3 linked regions of the Danio rerio genome follow. The protein of the gene in region 2 purifies or fractionates together with the protein of the main gene of each other region. This does not show direct contact. Links are inferred from orthologs where the notes say so. Each region holds a gene or a part of one and is shown on either strand. Other genes may lie near its edges.

Region 1 (7,450 bases), on a different chromosome or scaffold from region 2:
AGTGAGCCCTTGTTGACGGACACACAACCCACCCGACATCCCACCCCACCCCATCCCATCCCATCCCAGGTGTTTAGCGGATGGCTTTGACGGGACTCTTGAAGCTGGAGGCTGCCTGCAGCTGGAGCTGGTAAGCCATTGGGTGAATCTTAAAACCATAAAGCCTGAAAGAGGACAAAGACAACAACTATGATCAAACTGAACAACTGTAGACTTCATCTGAGAAAATCAGGAGGAAGGACAAACCTGGGCACAAACTGGTTGGCAGGCCTTTTTGGCCGGTACTCGGGATGCACCATAAAGAGCATGTGAGGGAAGCCGGTGCCAAAGTAAGCTCCGTCAGTGTGATGGTGCCTGGATGACTTCGGCGTGTACACATCCATACACTTGGGGCAGTAGAGCTTCACCATAGCCTCGCCGGGAATGTCAGAGAGGCCTGGAGAGGGCAAAAGATTCATTCCTTCAAGTTTCAGTGGAGCTCATGTGAACAATGGACTGCCTGAAGACCAGCGGCCTGTACCATAACGCCAGATTAGCTGGCTAGCCAGTTAAGTTTGCACCAATTCTGGGTTTTAGGTAGCATGAACGTAGCTTAGCTTATATGCTCCATAGTACCATGAGAACAAAGAGGGACTAAAATTGAGCTGACTTCATGTTACCTAAAACCCAAGATTGGGTCAAACCAAACAAACTGAACTGGCTGGCCAGCTAATGCTACAGGCTCCACTGTTTACACTCTTTCGTCAGATCACAAGTCTTCCACATTTACTCCTTGTGTTTTAATCCGCCTTTTGGCTTTTAACATGCAGTAACGGTTGTGCTCATGAAATAAATCAGCAAAGTAGGCGCTGTGAAATACAGTGTACAAGTTACATTATATTTGTGCTTAAATGCTAAAGTGAAGACATGGTGAAATTAAAAATAAAAAAACATTTATTTTTAAATAAAAAATACATTTAAAATAAATAAATAAATGACAAATTAAAAACAAGTACAGATTTTTGTGCCAATATTTTAAAATATGACTTGTTTTTAACTGTATATAAGGATAGACCTACATAAAACTTTTAAAGACAGAGCCTACAGTGCTCAATCAAATGATACATATTCTTTATTATTTTTATTAATATTAATGTGTCGTTTAAATGGTTATATTTAATCAACTAAATAATTGTATGTCAATATGCAACTACTGCAAATACTTTTACCTTATACATTTTTCTACTACATGAAAACTGGGTTGGTAAAATAACATGCACAAAACAGGCTGAGGCACTCACCAATAGGCAGCATTGGCTGATTCTCACAGTAAACACGAGGACAGTAGCCAAAGTCTCCCTGCTGATATTTCTCCAGCTCCAAGAGAAAACAGCACATCATGTCACAATACAATAACATCTTTCTTAAATGAAATGATTCAAAAAATTGAAAAGGAGATCATACCATCTGGGCAATGCCACGGTTAGTGAGGATATAGCGAGCATGAATCAGCCCATAGAGCATCTCAGCAGCCTGCTCAATCAGGTCACTCTGGTTAGGGTTATCCTCCAGCTCCTCATCTGATGAACACAAGAATCATCTCACTATTCACATGACACTGCTTTCCAACAAGAACAAGAAATATTTGGCAGGACTTGACGTCATCCATTGGCAATTGACTGAATGCTGGTTTAGCTATTGGCTAGTCTCATGTAAGTGACAGGTTGGGCCGTTAATGCGTTTAATTAAAGCTTAAGGTTGAATTATTTAAAAGAAATGCTGACCATAATGATGGCACAAAAGTGGGATTGTGTAGAAAAACTAAATGACTGACCAGGTTCCAGATCGAGGATCATGTCCAGAGCTTGTCTGTAATGGGGAACTTGCTCGTTGAGTCCTGTAAGATTAAACTTGTCCTGAATATAGTCCTCATCCACCTGTATAGAGGGGAAGAAAAAGAGCAAAGCACATTAGGAATGCATCAATGAAAATAAAACAATTGTTCAAAAAAACTAAACAAAAAAACTGATTTCTGCTTTATTTTTATATAAAAAGCAGTTTCAGAGAGTTTTTGATGCTGTTTTAGCTAGACAGACAGATGGTGGTTTGTTCTGTATATTTTATTCCACTTTAAGTGCTTCCCACAGATTTCAAATATACTTGCGGTGGTAGCCGGATTGAAACACCTTTTACCCAGAGCACAAAAATAGTTAACCATATGCGACAAACAAAACATAATTAGATTTTCACAATATTTTGATTTATTAAGGATCTGTTTTAAACTTTCTTTTCAATGGCTTAAAGTTTGTGGGAGTGTTGACAGTTCTCGCGCACACAGAACGAACAGTACAAAATGGGTCAAGGAGAGATTTTCCACTACTTAATCGCTTGCGGATGTTTGTTGATATTGGGCGGATACAAAAAAAGTGTAAAAGGAAGATGATGATGATGATAATAATAATAATAGTTAAAAAAAAAAAAAGTGTCACTAAATATACTTGAGCGGACGCTTGATATACCTGGGCAGCCTGCCCAAGTAAAGCCTATGCATGGGAAGCACTGAAAATTCATTCCTACAACATCGTTTCAGAATCAGCACAAAGGTGATGCTCATGTCTACTGGCAGGGCTCGAAATTAAACATTTTGCATGGTAGCACTGGTGCTCCCGACTTTAAAAAGCAAAAATTTAGTCGCACCCACCAATTATAAGCACTGTTACTACAAGTTTTAATGTTATATTAAGCGATTTACTGCAATTATATTAGCTGCAATATAAGTTGTATGTCGATAAATGCAAGCCACTTTGCGATGGTGTTCGTGGTGTTACATTTTACATATAGCGCCACCTGCACAGCTGACAGCATCCTAACGATTTAGTCATTTTCATAGCGAACTTTTAACACTGGAAGTCTTTTATCCACTCTTGGAAAAGAGTAAACGCTGGATTGACATTAACCACATGACCACTAATCAGACGTGTCTTTATTTGTAACTTTAGGTGTTTTCTAAAACTAAATCTGTCAGTGTTTTCTTTTTTTCATCTTCAGTGCTCTACATGTTCGCGATTGTAGCTCTCCCTGTCATCTAAAGAAAGCCATCGACCAAGTGATTGACAGCTGATATTAACCAATTTGTTCGCATTCAGTTCTAGAGCAGTGGGCCAATCAGAAGAGCTTGAGGGTGGGGCAAGCATTGTGCGCTTTATGGCAGCAAGTTGACTTAACAACTGTTTTAAACTATTCATGAGCGCTGCATTTGGCGTCTCAGGTGCTAAGATGCATTCTGCGCGAATGACTCCTAAATCTGCATGTGTGGTGAACATTTTGCAGTGAAAACCGGTCGCACGGCACCAATATTATGCAGTCACACAAATGCTCCTAAATATATTTGGAGGTCGCATGGATAAAATTTTGCCCGCATATGCGACCAAAACAGTCGCAATTTCGAGCCCTGAACGGTGATTTCAACTGCAGTTTATACCCAATCAATATTGAAAAGATGAAAGTACAAGTGTGCGAATATAAAACTAACTTTACCTCAATAACATCTCACATCATATGTAATCGCTTAATCAGTAAAACTGCATGTAAATGTGTCATCTACCTTAATTTAGTGTGTATTTCTAAGATATAAACTCGAAAGAATAGTTTTTTTGCCTAAACATTGACACAATTAGGAGCTTTTCTTTTTATTAACGCATTAGAAGTTAGGCATGGGCCAGTATAAGATTCTGACGATATGATTACCTTGGATAAAAACACAACGGTTTCATGGTATTCATGGTGCTCTAAAATATATCCTTTTTAAATGTCTGAGTAAAAAAAAATTAAAACTGTTTTCCCTGTAGAACACAATATATTTTAATTTGAGTAACATTTAAGTATTTTGGAGCAGTAAACATGTCAAGCTGAATAATTCAAAAGAATCATTGACTTCTGTCGACTCCTTTAGTTTCAAAAACACTGATTTCTTTACAATTTAAAACTGCATCTTTGGATATCTTTTCTGCTGGAGATACTTCCATCCTAAAAACCTTAAAAAAAACCCACTTACATATACCGTAGGATCGGTACAGCAGAAAATATTGAAAGTTTTAAAACCTTGACTTTTCCAAGCCATGGTATAACTTGAAAACAGTTATCGCACCATGCCTATTAAACGTAGCAGAATACATTGTACAAACTATACAGCAACTGGATGTAATAATCTAGGCTTTGCTGGATAATGGAACCATTTAACATTTTATTAATGTGCAAGTTCTTTCAGTAAAAAAGGTCATCAAACATGTTCAATAAACCACAAAACTGCAATTCTATCTTCATTATATGCCTGTATATGTCTTCAAACAAAAGGCACACACCGATTTTTTTTAACTGTGTATTATTACACACCTGCTTATTATACAACATAACAGAATAACTTACAAAGATGACAATACAAACCTCACAGAAGAATTCATTTCCCCGTAGACCACAAAACCAAGAAATCCACGACACTTCCTCTGAGCTACTCATGTTGGGAAACTAAAAAAAAGCAGATTAACAATTAGTCACTGTAAAAAGTAGCAGTCACTATTAATAATACAAGAAAGGGTCACTTTAATAGTAACATACGACAATTTTACTGAAAATAGGTTAATACTGCCCTGTTAATAAGTCTCGGGTAGCAAATTATATTGCGTTGCTAATACGTTTAAGATGAGTACATGTTTATAACAAACTGCATCGAGTCTAAACAGTTTTCACGTAAACAATTGACTGGACTGGTCTGACGCACGCTAGCATAGCCTGCTGGTCACATTTTAAGCCTCATGACGAATACAGTAAAATACATATGCACAATAGTTCCATCTAAGGCCGAAAAAACATTGTGATGTTTAACAGCCAGGCAAGAGTTTTAATAAGTGTTGATTTTCTGGTTTGTGTGCTCAGCTAATGCTAGGTGTGGTTAGCTTGCCGCTGCTTCAAACTAGGCCGCATCAAATTCGCCGACTGATCCACAATTATGTAAAACGGGGAGCGTCGTGATGTGTGAAATAAACTGCGAATTAAAATAAATAGATGCTAATTAACATAACGTCGAAATTACTTCACATCCCTGCTCATAATAGCGATAAAAGCGTTTACTGACGTTACCTCAAGGATCTCCCGGGGTCGATGTTAGCCGCAGCGACACAACTGTACGCTGATTGGAGGCTTCCGCTGTGCATCACGTGATCACAAGTCACCTCACTTCCGCTCACGTCGCTGATCTTGTAGGAGTTGTAGTTTCTGAGTTGTAGAGTCGTTCCTTTTCTATATTCACTTTTTGGTTTCCTTGCATTCGTTTTCGTGTAATATTCTATTGATGCGATCAATTACTTAGGTCAGAAAAACTGATATTTCAATGAAAGTAACTGACACGTGATCCGTAGCTGGCGGGCATGTCACTTTTATTCATTCATTCATTTGTCTTTTTGGCTTAACTTTAGTCCCTTTATTAATCAAGGCTTGCCACAGCGAAATGAACCGCCAACTTATCCAGCATATGTTTTACGCAGCAGATGCCCTTCCAACTGCTACCCAACTCTGGGAAACATCCATGCACACTCATTTACACTTGTACATTAAAGGCCAATTTTAGCTTAATTCAACTCACATTCTTCATCCTTTTTTTTTTTTTGACTTGTGGGAAAACCGGAGCACCCGGAGAAAACCCACTCGAAAACGGGGAGAACATGCAAACTCCACACAGAAATGTCAACTGACCCAGCCGGGCAGTGGTGTCCCTAGAAAATTTTCTTAGGGATGGCCAGAAGAGGCTGCACCAAATCTTGGGGTGCCACACAAAAAATAATGAATTCAGCAAAAAGTTATTCTTTTGTTTTTGGTAAATATATTAATGTGGTTTTAATTCATTTAACTAATTACTCTTGAAATATTGCAATTTATTCCTTGAAATATTTCAGCAAGTACATGTGCAAACCAAATAAAAATATATTTATTATTATTATTTAGATATTTAGTTTAAAAACACTCCTCATATAACATACTTTTCAGTTAATTTTACATACCTTTATCGTACAGCATACAGTATAAACCATGTCTAAAATTATTGAAGATTAATTAATAAATTAATACTACACACAAATGAACAAACTAAACAAAAAGCAATACTACACACACACAACACACACTAAACAGACGCTAATAATATAATTTATCCATATTCCTTTTTGAGCCACACTGTTATTGTCACAGCGACGCAGAAGGTAGCACTGTCGCCTCACAGCAAGAAGGTCGCTGGTTCGAGCCTCGGCTGGGTCAGTTGGCGTTTCTGTGTGGAGTTTGCATGTTCTCCCTGCGTTTGCGTGAGTTTCTTCTGGGTGCTCCAGTTTCCCCCACAGTCCAAAGACATGCATTACGGGTGAATTGGGTAAGCTAAATTGTCAGTAGTGTATGAGTGTGTGTGTGTGTGGATGTTACCCAGAGATTGATTGTGGCTGAAGGGCATCCGCTGCGTAAAAACCTGCTAAATAAGTTAGTGGTTCATTTCACAGCCCCGGATTAATAAAGGCACTAAGCCAAAAAAAAAATGAATGAATATTATTGTCACAACCCCGGCTCATTCCTGCTCACCCAATCAACGTTCTCCTTCAAATACCACCTCCATCCAATCCAGTGATTCTTCACCAGACTTCTTTTGCACCAGCTCCCCTTTACCCATGCACACTATAAAGACCCACCTTCTCGGTTCACTCATCGGCTGATATTGAAGTCAGATGGTTGTCTTCACCTTTGCTCTTTCGTCTTCTCACCTTCTTCCATGGATGTTTCTTATGAGTTTCCGTGTCCTTCATACTGATCAACAGAAGTGATTATTCTTATCTGATGTTTACTAGAAGATCTGCTATCACTCTGAGCTGTGTATCTGTGTACTCACCTGCTGTGTCTACAGCGAGCGAACTTCTAGTGAGATTGAATGCTACACTATTGACACTCACATTGCTGTGTATGAAGATCACAACAGCATACATCAACCCTTTGAATTCCTTTTGTGATTAGTGACTTTGTTTTGAATAAAACTAAAATGTCTTCCTTGTCTACCAGCATGACTATTATTAATACCGCTTCTTCTATTGATGTACCTTAAGGTAAATATTAACTTGCCATTGCTGTCTAATGAAGGTGTGTGTGTGCTGTCAACAACGATCGGGGAGGGGCACCTATCAACCCACAGTCATTTAGTGGCTATTTATTAATTATTTATTCTAATATTGTGAATTTACATAAGTACATTTAAATGAATAATTTTAACAGCAAAATCATATTAGGGTGGCCAGACTTGGGGGCGCCCCTGCAGCCAGGGCTTGAACCAGCGACCGTCTTACGATTGTGCTACCCACTGCACAACTGCGATGCCCCGTGTCACTTTTAGTCTGAGGTTTCAATAAAGAAACTGTATGAAAATGAAAATAGTCACTTAAACTTT
Region 2 (7,450 bases):
ATGTGTTCAATACTTCATCCTTGCATCATTTTATTTATTCTTCATTATGCATAACTTCATTTTTAAACTAATAAGAGTTGTTTTATTTGCGTATATGGATGTTTTTTGGTTGTTACCAACATCCGGGGGAAATTTCAATGGCACCTTTAAAATATGTTTTCTAAGAAAAACGGTGAAGTGTTCAATACTTATTTTCCCTGCTGTGAATAACATTTTAGAAAAATTGTAATATGTTTCTAATTCTAAATTAATCTGTGGATGTATGGTGATAACTATTAATTATGTATTTTTGCTTGTATTTATTTATTTATTTATTGATGATTTGTAAATATTTAAATCAGAAAAAAGTATGTATATATATTTTTAAGTCTTATGAGTTTATATAATACTTAATGGAAGCAATTGAAGTTTATAGAAAAGAGGATTCACCAAGAAGAGAAGAGTAAATGATGATATGGTTGTAATTTTAGAGTGAATAACTGTACCGAGGCTGGATTGATATTGCTGTGCTGTGTGATGGTGTTTGTTGGCTTTGCTGAGAGTTGGTGTTTGATCAAAAATGTCTGTGTTTGGTCTTCGGGCTTTGCTGAGGTGTGTAGGAGTTTCTCTGTCAGATTAATCCCTGATCTCACAGTCTTCATGCAATCTCCTGAGTCCTTTGATTCTATCAGTGGTTGCGAACTCTTGCTGTTTGTTTAACATCAAAAACGGGATTATTTCAGAAAGTAAGTCACATTGACTCTTGCAAAAATGATTGCCCTTTTTTTAGCTCTGTATTTCAAAACAGACACTTTACTTTACATTAAATGTAGTATGACAGATGGTTATATGGAGAGTAAGGGATTGTATCTTTTTATTAAGACACTTTTAGTCATTGCATGTTGAATACCTTATGCAAACACATGAGGAGATGTCTCTCCTTAAAAGTCTCACCAATGGCAGATTAGCATGGAATGTCAACCCTGGTATTGAAGGATATTACATATACCGGAATGTGGAGGATGTGAGAACATGATTGACAGGGCACATACTGTATCTAAGTAACAAAACAGTCCATTAATGACTATGTTTCAAGGCTTGACTACTCTTTAGCTAATAATTCAGGAGGGCTAATAATTCTGACTTCAACTGAATGCCCATTCCCAAAAAGAGTATACTTTTAGAGCATATCCACAAACTGGATTTGGGATTAGTAAAAAAAAAATTACATCAGAATTACTTTGAGATGCATGAACTGTCTGCGCTGGTTTGTTTGGAACTATTTCTGTTGTTGAAACAAAAGGAAATAGACTATAATGTGTCAAAAAAAGGATTATAAATCAAACTTTGAAATTGATAAGGAATTATTTGCACCATGTGTAATAAAAAACATTCTTCTTCTTACAGTTCATAGTTTCCTGTAAAAGTTTTTGCAGTGTTTGCATGTAAAAGTTGCTCGGTTATTTATAGGATCTTGCTGTAGGTTCAAGTGTTTTTTTCACGCAAGTATGCAGCATTCAAGTGGTGGCACAGCAAAAATGCTTTTCTTAGTTTGTCTTTTTTTTCTAGTTCAAAAATTGACAAATTCTTTAAATCAAGAAGTATTTTCTACACAACTAAATAATATTGTCTTATTAATATTATGTCAAAATATAAAGTTTTTCCTTAAAACTTAAGAAAAGCATTTTTTTTGTAGTGCGTATGGTTTCTAAGGTGTGGCTAGGTGGTTGCTATGTTGCTTTGGATGCTTGGTTACAAAGTGTACTTCCAAGTCTTTATTACATAATGTACAGTTGAAGTCACATTAATCAGTCCTCCTTTGAATTTTTTCTTATTTAAATGCTTACCAAACGATGAATACAGAGCAAGGGATTTTATACAATTCCTTTTAATATTTTTTTTTTCGGAAATTAGTTTAATTTTGGCTAGAATAAAAGTTGTTTTGAAAAGCATTTTTTTGTAGTAAAATATTTTAAGGTCAAACGTATTTGGCGTCTTAAGCAATATACTGTTGAAGTCAGAACTATTAAACCCCCTTTGAATTTTTTTCTTTTTTAAAATTTTTCTCAAATGATGTTTAACAGAGCAGGGAAATTTTCACCGTTTGTCTGATAATATTTTTTTCTGGAGAAAGTCTTATTTGTTTTATTTCAGCTAGAATAAAAGCAGTTTTTTACATTTTAAAAAACATTTTAAGGTCAAAATGATTAGCCCCTTTAAGCTATTTTTTTTTCGATAGTCTACAGAACAAACCATTGTTATACAATAACTTCCCTAATTACCCTAACCTGCCTAGTAAACCTAATTAACCTAGTTAAGCCTTTACATTTTACTTTAAGCTCTATAAAAGTGTCTTGAAAAATATCTAGTAAAATATTATTTACTGTCATCATGACAAAGATAAAAGAAGTCAGTTGTTAGAAATGAGTTATTAAAACGATTGTGTTTAGAAATGTGTTGAAAAGCCGAAATTTGGGAAAAAATAAACAGGGGGGCTAATTATTCAGGTGGGCTAATAAGTCTGACTTTATCTATATATTCTTTATTTAATGTAACTCGCTTAAGTATAATTATTTTTTTATCATCCACCACAACTTGCTTTCCTCAAGAGTCTGGCTAAATTAAGGTATTATTTATGTCCATGCCACAAACAGTAAGTGGCGAAATTGTAATACATTAAGTATCAAATTTATTCAGATTACCACTAATTATCAAAAAGTCCCAGCCATTATCAACCATCCTCCTCCTCCTTCTCATACACCACACACTAAGCTCTTTCACCATCCACCCTGATGCTCCGCTCCCTCGCGCTCCATGCCACGTTTTCCAGCGGGCCCCTCAGCTGTTTGCCACCGGCTCTCTGGGGACTCAGCTACACCCTGACGAAAGGATGAGAGTGAGAGAGAGAGAAAAGGACGAGAGAGTGAAATAATAGAGAAGAGAGGCGAAGAGTGCAGAGCAGAGCCAGGCACCGTAGCAAAAATATCCGTTCTGTGTTGCAGGAACTCCCTCCTTTTGTTTGTGCCGCCCGTCTCAATTAGGGCTTCCAGCAGAGCTGCCCGTTCCATCAATCCATCCATCCATCCATCCATCCATCCATCCATCCATCGAGGACGCAGCCTATACAAGGACAGCCAGCTGTAACGACCGCACGCAGGGAGCGACGGAGCGGCAGGGAGGGGGAGAAATAATTAAATAAGTCGCAAGGAAGAGGAGAGATTGAGTGAACAGAGGAGACGGCGAGGGAGGAGGGGATGTAGCCGGTGCGTCGTTTGGAGGCTGCCAGGGGAAAATGTGCTGAAACGAGCAGAAAACAGGAAGATACCGGTGAGCACCGCAACGTCGACATCTTTCCCATTTTGTCCACCCCTTCCATCTCATTTTGTGTGTGCGTGCGGATGCGAAGGCGAATCCGCCGTGTGCCTGCATGTTTGATGCATTCTGTTTATTCTCATCCCACCTTGCGGTGACTCGATGGCTCGTCTTTCGCTTGCCACTCTCGGGTCTGAACCTGTTGGCGAGTGCGGCAGTGTTGGTGTATGTGTGTGCGATTTGCCTACCTGGCATGTTTAGTCAGACTTCCAGAGAGCAGCTAGCATCCTTTCATTTAGCTTTCACACACAAAGGAAGACACAGACACACTCTCTTAGCTCTTGGTGCCGGAGACCCGATGCATCCTAAGAAGGCTGACGGTATGTGAACGGCGCTCTATCAGGCTATTGTGTGCATATTATTAAGAGTTTAGGGCTAACTAATAGATGGAAATGTGGGCTGGCGACTCTGATTTGTGTCATTATGATTGGTTTATCACATCCCTTCGCTATTTCCAAAGAGGTTGGTTAAAATAGATGCTCATGCATTATTTAAGTCTGACTGTCATAATTAGCGAGATGTCAGTTATCCAGCAGCTCTTGGCCACGATGCACCCAAACACGAGGCTCTGCATCTCTCCCGTGACTGAAGACACAAGGAGTCACATTCATGTTAGTTTGTTTCTAACGTTCTTGGGGAGTAACAAAGGGGAATTGTGTTCGGTTGGAACGCCAGGATCCTGATACTGTTGTCGAATGACGTTAGATTCATTTCTGAGTTGATTTTTGTATCAGATGGACCTGCAGACACACTGGGAGTCCGGTTGAGCTTTGGCTCAATGAACCCTGTTTGGTTTGTTTTCATGGTGCATTAAGTCTCCAACTTGTCCTTGGTGTGTTGCAGCCAAAAGCAGCAGTTTTTGAGTGGTTTGTGTCTTAAATGCTGCTCGGTGTTGCTGTTTTTAGCTGCAGTGTCTGTGTTGGGATGTCATATGATCCACCTGTTCCAGTATTGATTGGCAATAAATCTAAATATGGCCACTGCAGCACACCAGCGCCTGCTCGGGAGAACCCTGATGATGCGAAGTAAATGTCTTCTAACAAATCTGTGAAGGGTTATTGATGCGTTTGGTTATTTATAACTTGGCTGGTGGTGGTCCAGTCCTGATGTAATAAATGCGGGATGCTGTTTTTAAAGGTGTTGGTCACCTAACAGAACTAAAGCAGATTCTTAAGCAGAACACTATAGAATGTTGTTAGCTGAAACTGTAGTTGATTTATAAAATGCAGGTCAATGATTACGGGCACCTTTTGAGAGTCAGAAAACATACACAAGCAAATCAAAACAAATAATCATGACTGGTAATAAATTAAAGTTGCAATCAAATTAAAATTTTGTCTTCCTATTTTTTTTATACTATAAATGATGGCTGTGTGTGCTTCATTATTTTGTAAAGATTAAATACCATAACCTTCCCTTTCCCCTGAAATGACTTTTCTTCACTTCAGGTCACATGGAAAGGCTTTTGGGAGGGACATGTCTCCTTACTTTTGTCCATTCATCAATCTTCCTTTATTTTGTTAGCAGTATCCATCTTGCAATGATACAATCGGTTCTCAAATAACAAAAAACTTTAATGTCTTGATCACAATTCAAACTACTAAAGACCAGCAGGGACAAAGCAACAATTGACTATTCATATCAATGGAGAGCTAGAGACTTCTGGCATTCTCCCAACTATACAAGTGACAACAACTGTTGGTGACTGTATGTGTGGATGTCCAGCAATACAAAAAAGCTGAGAATCCTTCAACCTTATCCAAATGAAGAACGACTTTCGTTAGCAACAGCCAATAAGAGCATTAGTAGAGCTCACATGATCTTCTCTCAGCTTCTGCACCAGCCGGTTGGATATTCAACTTTCTGTAGAGCTGTGAGTTAGCCGTTAGTCGTGTTTGTTTATTTCTTGTTAATCATTGTATGCCCTCTGCAATGTTTATTTTCGAGTGGCAGGAAAACTAATTGGCTGACATGAACTGCAAGCTGTTTGCCAAGGTTCATGTTCAGTCTTTTCTATAAACCTGTGCAGTTGTGTTAGTACTTGCAATAAGTTTCTGGCTGTCATTCACTGAATGGCCACTGGTATCACTATTAACAAGAGTTTTTGAATTCAGTATATAGTATCAAAGACTCTAGAATACTCCAGACATGTCAGTCGTATACTTTTGAATGGGGAAAAGCGTAAATGTCAATATGGTGAATGAAGCCCCGCCTACTAGTACAGGAGCCACATCACATGAAAGCAGCAAGAACTCAAACTATGCCCCACAAACTAGTAAACAGATTCGCCATTAAGACCAAGTTGTGAATTACTTCAGAAGACTAGCGGAATCGGACGATCGTTATTCAGAGAATGATAATGTGTAAAACAGCCATAAATAAGGTTGGTGTCGGGATCTCGTTCCTTTCGAGTGTGCATGCGCATTAGCTCGGTCAACCTGAAAAATGTCAATTTTTTTTGATTGGAACGTTTAGAAATTAAACTAAAAAGACAAATTTTATTGGCAATTCCAAATATGTAATGTAATTGTAAGCTTGACAAACAGTTTTGGAGAATTTGATGTTTCTCCATTTAGACAGAATGCACGAGCGTACTGGCCGAGAGGTCTTTCAAAAATGGCTGCGGGGTGAAATCACTTGCCTTAAAGGGATTTCGATTAATTATTATTTTGATGGATAATTATTTTTTAAGGTGATTTTTACTTTTAATTGGACAGGACAGTATAGGTTGCAGACAGAAAAGTATTAGGAGCAGAGAGAGTTGAAGAGTTGGCAAAGGACCTCAAGCCGGGAATCGATCTCGGATTGCCGTGAGCACCATGGTGCTATATGTCGACGCACTTAACCACTAGGCTATTGGCGCCGACTTTCAGCTGTCTTTAAGGTTGTATGAAAACTATTATTGAACACCGGCCATTCTTCTCTTAGGACAATTTTTTATGTTTTTGATCCACTTCAAATGTTAAATGCTGTATAGCCTCTTTAAATGCAAAGTCTAGAATGGATTCAACTGCGGCTACTAAGTATGCACACATAAATATACCATCATTTTTGTGACACTAAGTACTGTTCTCACATTACTCTGAAGGATTGGTTTAGGGTTGGGGTAGGTGTATGTGTAAACCTAAAAAAAACTATTTCATTGGTAATTTAATGGGATATTTCACCCAAAAATGAAAAGTACTCCCTGTTAACTGTTTCAAGCTTTCTTCAAAATATTTTCTTTTCTTTTCATCAGAAGAAAGAAACTCAACTGATTTGGATCAAGTAAAGGGAGAGTAAATGTTAACAGAATTTTTATTTGTGTGTGTGTGTAAACTATCACTTTAATAAGTAAACAAAAATCTAGTTAGCTTCCGGCCACAGCTGTATCCTTTCTAGCAACTCTCTTTAACCAAATTTCACCATGAAGAACTTGAGTCGGTCAGCAGTTTTAGCACTGATCTGGTCCTCAAGCTGAGATCAGCAGCAAGCCAGCACTAACCAGCAGAAGCCAGTCTTACAATTCATGCTGGTCAGCATGCTTTTGGCAGCAGACTGACGGATGCTTCCCAGATTTATCTAGTTCTCCACTGATATTGTAAAGTGAATTTGGAGATTTTATTTAATGGCAGAAGTAATATTTCATGTGCGTAGGTGGATTCCAGCCGTTTTAGACTGTGTGTTCAGTGACTAAAATCCAGGAAGTTTTGTTTTATGCAAATTAGCTGTGACTCGATGCAGTGAAGACCAATAGGAGGGAAGACAGCAGAGCGTTTCCTCTGAGATGTAGGCATGAGGAGGAGAAGTTCACGATACTGTGAGCAATTTCACAGCTCTGAATGTTTTGTCTCAGCCCACATATAGCAATAAATAAAAAATGATGCATAGAAAACTGCATCAGAAACTGTGGGCATTCACAAGCATGTTTGATTCTTCATTTGATGCATCATGCACTGCTCAAATTTATATTCACATGATTCCTCAGCACAGCATTTAAATGTTTTACCAAAAATTAAATCTAGTAAAAGTAGATTTTTACCAGCATTATACTGCTGCAAATGAGATAAACTTCCCTGGCAGAATGTTTAGCAGCTACAAGCTTGTACCTAAAACAAAA
Region 3 (7,350 bases), on a different chromosome or scaffold from region 2:
ATTTTATTGCTTTATTGTATTTATTAAGTATAGGTTTGAGTAAAATGTTTTACATGATAAAGGCTTGATATTTCTTCCATATTAAAAAAAATAATAGTATATAATAAAATATTTTCATTCACAGCACTTGGTTTTTGAAAATATTTTCATTAGTTGACTGAAATGAGGGTTATTTTACCAAATAGAGATCTGAACTCTAAGTTTTGCATATACGCTTCTGAAATATTATTATTATTAATATTATTAATATTCATTCATTGTTATTATTATTTATTTTTTAAATGTTTTACCTTCTCTAAAATAGAAAAATATTTTGCTTCTTTTTTCAGCTTCTACGTTGACTAATACACATCTAAATTTGCATTGAATTTGGCATTCAATAAAAAACATTTTAATAACATTAATAAAAATAAAATATTAACATTCTCTGTCAAAATAATGTATAGACATTTGTCTGAAAACAATTTTTATTTTCTGACAAATGCTATTTTTATTTTGTTTTTAGACTTTATTGCATTATTTTCAACATTTACTTACAAATGTATGGCAAACAGAGCTTGTTACACTGGACATGGGAAAAAAAAGAGTCAAATCAAAACGTAATAAAAAGTAAATAAAATTAAGGTCTTTTATATTCGGATAATGTGGCAATAAACTCAATTAGATTAGCAATTGAAAGCAACATGTGGATTATTTGATTAAATTCAGAAGTTAATTTTAGATAATTTCTGAATATAATCAAATATTGCACGTGTTGCTTTCAATTGCTAATCTAATAGAGTGCTTATTTCTTAGGCCATACTATTGTATCTGCGCATGTATTTTTCTTATATGATTATAAATTGCATATCCAAAGAAACTGATCATTTAGGTGGTCTTTTAATAGCTGTACATAAATACAGTAAATTATATGATTATTTAAATGAGTGGACATGAAGGCTGTTTAAATACAATAGTATGATGCTTTGCCGTTCATACCACCTCAAATAAATAACAAGTACTTATAACATTGAAATTTTCAACATGGCCCAGTTTCATCAATTACAGATTGTGTTTGTAAGTCATCTGCATGAGACTTGTGGGAATAATGTGGGAAAGCATTCAACAAAGCACTAACAACATGCGTTTTAGTATTAGATGTTTAGTTCTCACACACAACTAGAAAAAAAAAAAGAGAAGAAAACTCTGAATCTCACCATATCCTTCACTGTCCCCTTTGAAATTTCTGGAAAGACAAAACAAACAAACATCAATATATTAACACTTTGGTACATTTTTTACAACCAGAAACTAAATCTGAAATGGTGTCGCTTATTAAAACAGCAGTCTAAAACAACTAATCTAATCACCAAAAATACAAAATGGCACTTACAGGTTTCAAAATTCTTTATTGTCACTGTACTGAGTATTTAGTACAGCAAAATTAGAGCTTACAGTGCAAAAAAACAAACAAACAAAAAAAGAGTAAACATATTGCACAGTAACTGAGTAGTGAGATTCTATATACACAAGAATAATGTAACAGAATCTTAAATACGAATGGAGTATTGATACAATACAACACAGTGATTGACTGTGAAATAAAAGTGTTAAAGACAACATTGCACAAAAGATGCAATATTTAACATACAGTATTGCACTTCAAGAATGAACAAAGTAAGAGAATGGCCTGCTTTGATAACACTCTCTCCTTGTGCTTCACTATTTGAAATCCTGTTGTCTTATTATTTTATGTCATGAGTTTATATGCATTTATTTTTGTATGGAGTATGTTTATTTACTTATTGTTGTATTAAAGCTCTCTATATGAAGCGTATCCACTAAATTAAAGTCACAAATATATGAGTGGAGAGGCAGGATTTTAAATAGCCTTCTGTCTCATAGCTAGACATTGTATGTGTTATTATTTTATTGTTAAAGACACGATGCATTTGTCTTTGTTTAGTGATACTCTTTACATGACTACACACACCTGTGTTCGGTGGGTACTCCATCCGGCAAGTCCCTGTGAACAGGGCTTGATGGGCTCTTGGACCTCATCTGGAGGGGAGGCTCAACCAGACAGTGAGGTTGCACGACCCAACGGGTGGAGAGAGAAAACCGCTCAAACTCGGATGGAGAGATCAGGTAGAAACCTACAAGAGGACCAGACAGAGTTTCACAGGTTATCACATGGAAGCTGCTTTACACTGGGGAGTTTGTAAAAAATGAATGCAAATGTTTTACTTGCAACAGTTTTTTTTTATCATCAGAATTCAGGATATTCACCTCATAATTCTGGCTAATTTCCCTCAGAAGTTCACATCTTGAAATTTTGCAATTTTCCTTTCAGAATTCTTAGTTTACATCTGACAATTCTCACATTTTTGTTTCTGTTAGAATTTTAGGTACAGATGTGGCTACTGAGAATGCACGAGTGAATTAAGATGTCACATGGTACTGCAGTAATGCGCAGCACAGCACAACATGGACTAACATCCAAAATACAAAGCCAGCAGGGGGCAGTTATGTAACATAGTGAACATACTGAACTTATATATTGAAGCAGATAGAGCATGCGAGCGGAGTGGAGTAAACTTCGCTAACCATTCTGCTTCATGGTCATATGCTTGCTCGCTGGTAAACCATTACCGCTTGTAACTAAAAAAAATTTGAATAACTGTCTAAAATTAAAGTACTTCGATAAAATAAGTTTCTCTTTCAAAGCGGTATTAATGCTTTTCCTTTTTTCTTTCAGTACAGTTTTTTATTAAGATTTAAAATAGGCCTCAGTGATCAACTGTGTATTTTTTAGCCTATTTATTAAGGCAGCTGTGTGTGTTATTTTATACTATAGTTTAACTGACTGTTAGCCTATTTTAAACTACGGAGCTCTGAACATAATTTGAATTACAAATTTGTTCCACGACCACTTCTTATTAATGCATATCCTTGTTTTAATTAAAGTTATACTTTAATAATTAATTATGAAATGGAATAATTAATTCCTGGAATAGTCCTACTAAATTTATGAAACTAAAGAATTAACTTGGGCTGTAAATGGGTTCGATCTTTTGAAAAGCAGTGAATTAAAATGTACTTGTTGGGCTCGGGCCCTATTGGGCCTAAATTTTATGGCCTGATTACAGCTCTACATTATTCTAGTGTTAACCTTTTTTCTTTTTTAAATTTTTTATAAATTTCTCTATCTGCAACAAAATAAAACAAAAACCAACTCAAAATTTCGAACTACTTCTTTCTGACTTTTTATTCTTACAACTACAAGTTTCCAGATACCAGTTTTTACATGTACAAGCTTTAACAACATTTAAAAACTCTTATTTCATTTATACTAGCAGCTTATCAAACCATGTACAGTATGTGAAATTCAGCTCTTTCTTACCTTGGCCATATTTGGTGAAGACACAGGATGCGATTCCACTGACGTCTTCTCTCCGTATGCAAGGATAATGGACCAGCATTTTGATGGAGGGCAGAGAGATGACGTGGAGCTCCCCCTGATTCGTCAGCACCACCAGACAGCTCTCTAACTGTTCATCGGTCCGAGAACCAAACCAAGCCACACCGACACGCCGCACACGAGAGCCATCCACCGCCGTCAGCTTTAGCTTCGACTTACTGCTCACTTTGGGCAATGTAAAAAGCTGCGCACACACAACTACGGTAAGACACAAGACATATAGTGGAAACCCAAACTGTACTGTGCAAATTCTCACCTTAAATTGCTCCTCTGACACAACCAATAGATGGTGTGAGCCATGCATTTCAGGACTGCGTGCCAGGTCATGTGCCACTTCTAGGGGTTCGGGCAGAGGGGCTCCCTTCCCATCCAAGACCACCAAACCGACAACTGGAGCACGATGCATCAACTGAATCTCTTTGGCTGGTGATGGAAAAGCACATTTTATAGTAAGCATTTGACTCATTTATTATTTCTTTTATTTTTTTGCCAATTATGTTTATTAACATTTTATCCAGATACAACAACATATACATACCAAAACAAATAATACCATTGCTGCTTTTTAAATATCCCACCACAATCCCCCATATCTCCTAACCTTACAATACAAGTACAAATGATCATTTACAATAAATAAACAAATAAATAAATAAATAATACAAATAAATGTAGTTATTAAATAATACAGTTAATATCCAAAATGGGTTGTTCCTCTTCTGCTTCAAGATCAATAGTATCAATGTAATTCAACAAAGGTTTTCCGTGTTTTATAAAAAGGTTTTAAAAGCCCTCTTAATAAATTCTAATTACTTTCCAGCCTTAAATAAATAAATCAAAAACATTTTATCTATCTATCATATGAAGGTGGAGATGTATGTTTCCACATAAAGAAAATAAGCTTCCTTGTCAATAATATGGTGAAAGAAACAGCATCATTATGTGTCGTTGTAGGCAAATTTGAGGCTTTGTTTTGTTTTTAAGTTTGGGGTAAAATGTTACGGGTCAAAAGCATGAGATCCCATTTTGGTATCCGTGTAACATTAAATATAAAAAAGGATGTACAAAACAGGAACATTAAATGCATTTAAAATGTTCATTATTATGTTTGGAATAATTGTGAACATCTTCAAATGTTACAATAAGGGTGAAATACTTTGTTCAGCTTAACATATAAAAATAAAGAAACATTTTTTCTTTACTAACTAAAATATTAAAAAGATGAAGTTTTCATTCAACATTTGGATTTTGTTTTTGATTAAAAATGTCATGCTCAAATTATAACAGCAAAGGGATTTAAAGTGACAGTTAATTAGTGCTTTTAATCAGCACTGTAGTTTCGAAATATCATTGCTAAAATATATATTTATTTATTAAGTACATTTAAAAAACAGCCACATGACTGACCAAAGAGCTGTACATAAAAACCTACATATAGAGAAATAGTAATAAAAAAACAGAAATACAAAGCCTCTTTTAATGTTTAATCATTTCATCATGTTCATTAAATATGCATCACAAAATCTTTCTGGTATTTAAACTATTTAACATTTAAACTATTTAAACTATAATTGTATTACACATTTTCATGCTTGACCCAAATACACAAGCTTTGTTAATATGCTTCACGTTTTATAATATGTAAAATATAATGCACATTTTTTATTTAGTCTTAGATTAGTCTTGGCGGAATAAAGCTGCTATGTTGCTGCTGTTTTATCAAAGCAGCAGAGCAAGTACTGAGACTTCCTATTGTCAGCATGTTCACAGTCACACAGTCTGAAAATTTAACATACTGCTGCTGCAAACGCAATATACAGTTGAGCCCCCTTAGAATTTTTTTTTTACATTTTTTAAATATTTCCCAAATTATGTTTAACAGAGTAAGGAAATTTTCACAGTATGTCTGATAATATTTTTTTTTCTGGAGAAAGTCTTTTGTTTTATTTTTTTGTTTTATTTTGTTTTTAATTTTTTTAAGAACCATTTTAAGGTCAAAATTATTAAATAAATTAAATAAATTTAAATAAACCGGGATCTAATAATTCTAACTTCAACTGTATATGTGACTCCCCGTAGCAGATCTAAAAACATGTGAACCTGAATGTGAATGTTCAAGAACAAGCTTATTGGCTGCTAAGGTGACAGCAACCAACCACCTGCACCATGTAGATAATGATTCAGTAGCAGTCACAACAGTACTTTGTATTATTAAAATCAACAAAAAACTGTGCTCCTATTTGGCAAATTATTTTTGATACATTAAATATGATTTTACAGCTGAAAGCAAACAAAGAAATTTATTTCTGACTATTATTTCAGATTTTAGTTTTTGTACCTGCATGAGCCGTCACTGGATCCTCTGCCCTTCGTTCCTGTGGTGGGACACGGAGGACATATGCAAACACAGCTCCGCCATTGGTCCCTGCCCACAGTGAAGGTGTACTGTGAGAACCTGAGGAAAACAAGAAGAAGATTAAGGTCATCATATCAGTTATAAGACCCAAAATCTAATCCCAAATTGCAGATTAAAAAACCCTGTGGTACTTACTATCACTGACAAATGTATCTGCGAAGTAGAGCGTTCTGACGAGACCTGTGAAGGAGTCATCAGATGATCGGGCTTCAATCTTTCTCTGTACAGGAGCCAGCTCCATCTCCTGCAGAGCCTCAGCCTCCAGCCTGGCATTGATCTCCTGCAGCTGCAGAAAGATCCAGAATATTCATCATCAAGCCAGCACCACTGTTTCAACAACTCTGAAGTATGCAGCGCCAATCGCTACTGAAATAGCTCTTCATGTAACCCTCAGTTAGCATTCATAGAATATTTCCCAATTGTTCTCAGCTGTGTTTTAAATGTGAGGTAGATAATAATTGTAAAACCAGCAGTTCTCAATCCCAGAGGCTCTGCGCTGGTTGTGAAAATTCCAAACTGACCCAAAACCAGTGAATTTGATTGGCAATGAAAATTTGCAAAAGTAGTTCAACCGGCGTACAAAGAGCCGTACAAAAAATAATAATAGTAAAAATATTGGCACAGAAATGCATGTATTTTGGCACTGTGACAGAACCAAAGGTACTGGAAAGAGATTCACAAAATTGTTCTTGAATTATTGGAAAGACTTTTGCAATGTCTTAAACGGTATATGTCCTGAATTGTACAGTGCAACTCTGTCTTGATTGTGATGAAGATTGTGTGCTGAATTTTTCTATATATTGGGCCAAAAAAAAAAAAGTAAATTTTTATTATGGTCAACTGCTCAGGTCCGTTCTGTCAATATGTAGTTGAGCAAAAAGATAAAACTTTTGTCATTGAAAAAGTTATCTTATGATTTACATCAAAAACCAGAGGTATTTTGGCGCATTTGGTCATCTTTCAGGAACCTTTATAAGGATACTTCTCAGTGACTAGCCTTTGTCTTTCAAATTTTGGTTAATATCTTCATAAAAGTCTTCTATTTCTATTTTTGCTTTTAAGAATTTCATACATTTTAAGGACAATATGAATTAAATTTCAGACGTATACAGGGCTAAATTATAAGTTATTTTTTTTTAATGGTCCAATTGGGCCAGTGTAAATTTTTTTTACTTTCCCCATCAAAAAAATCTAATGAATTATTTCTTCTTAAATAAATAATTAAATAATGTGAAAATATTCTGTCAAATATCTTTTCTCAATAGAACATTTCTGTAAGCAAAAACTGTTACAGTTTAAAAACTGTAATAAACTTAATGTATGTAACAGTCTGTCCCGCTCAGCGTTCTCACCAGGTAGCTATAAATAAACCATATTGGCAAATACAGTTAATAAAACACTTGTTAAAAGTTTTATTGAGCTGGATTGTTGTTGATTGGATGGATGTTGGATAGGTTTACATGGACATGCAAAT

What was found.
Region 1: the proteins of prkcz (region 2) and csnk2b purify together in Homo sapiens (affinity purification with western blotting; 3 studies listed by BioGRID and IntAct, with this or other methods). This does not show direct contact. The link is inferred for Danio rerio from reciprocal best matches to the Homo sapiens genes PRKCZ and CSNK2B.
Region 3: the proteins of prkcz (region 2) and llgl2 purify together in Homo sapiens (affinity purification with mass spectrometry; 7 studies listed by BioGRID and IntAct, counting the BioPlex papers as one, with this or other methods). This does not show direct contact. The link is inferred for Danio rerio from reciprocal best matches to the Homo sapiens genes PRKCZ and LLGL2.

What each region holds. Positions count from the first base shown.
Region 1 is NC_133194.1:29,147,434-29,154,883, forward strand, and holds the start of csnk2b (casein kinase II subunit beta), read right to left. Parts: upstream 5,147-7,450; 5' UTR 5,111-5,146; intron 4,504-5,110; 5' UTR 4,495-4,503; coding exon 4,423-4,494; intron 1,917-4,422; coding exon 1,814-1,916; intron 1,560-1,813; coding exon 1,444-1,559; intron 1,357-1,443; coding exon 1,281-1,356; intron 437-1,280; coding exon 247-436; intron 165-246; coding exon 74-164; 3' UTR 1-73. UniProt on the Homo sapiens protein: Regulatory subunit of casein kinase II/CK2.
Region 2 is NC_133183.1:19,583,605-19,591,054, reverse strand, and holds the start of prkcz (protein kinase C zeta type), read left to right. Parts: upstream 1-2,929; 5' UTR 2,930-3,406; coding exon 3,407-3,671; intron 3,672-7,450. UniProt on the Homo sapiens protein: Calcium- and diacylglycerol-independent serine/threonine-protein kinase that functions in phosphatidylinositol 3-kinase (PI3K) pathway and mitogen-activated protein (MAP) kinase cascade, and is involved in NF-kappa-B activation, mitogenic signaling, cell proliferation, cell polarity, inflammatory response and maintenance of long-term potentiation (LTP).
Region 3 is NC_133187.1:35,653,234-35,660,583, forward strand, and holds part of llgl2 (LLGL scribble cell polarity complex component 2), read right to left. Parts: intron 6,163-7,350; coding exon 6,012-6,162; intron 5,916-6,011; coding exon 5,799-5,915; intron 3,884-5,798; coding exon 3,717-3,883; intron 3,645-3,716; coding exon 3,383-3,644; intron 2,136-3,382; coding exon 1,973-2,135; intron 1,226-1,972; coding exon 1,197-1,225; intron 1-1,196. UniProt on the Homo sapiens protein: Part of a complex with GPSM2/LGN, PRKCI/aPKC and PARD6B/Par-6, which may ensure the correct organization and orientation of bipolar spindles for normal cell division.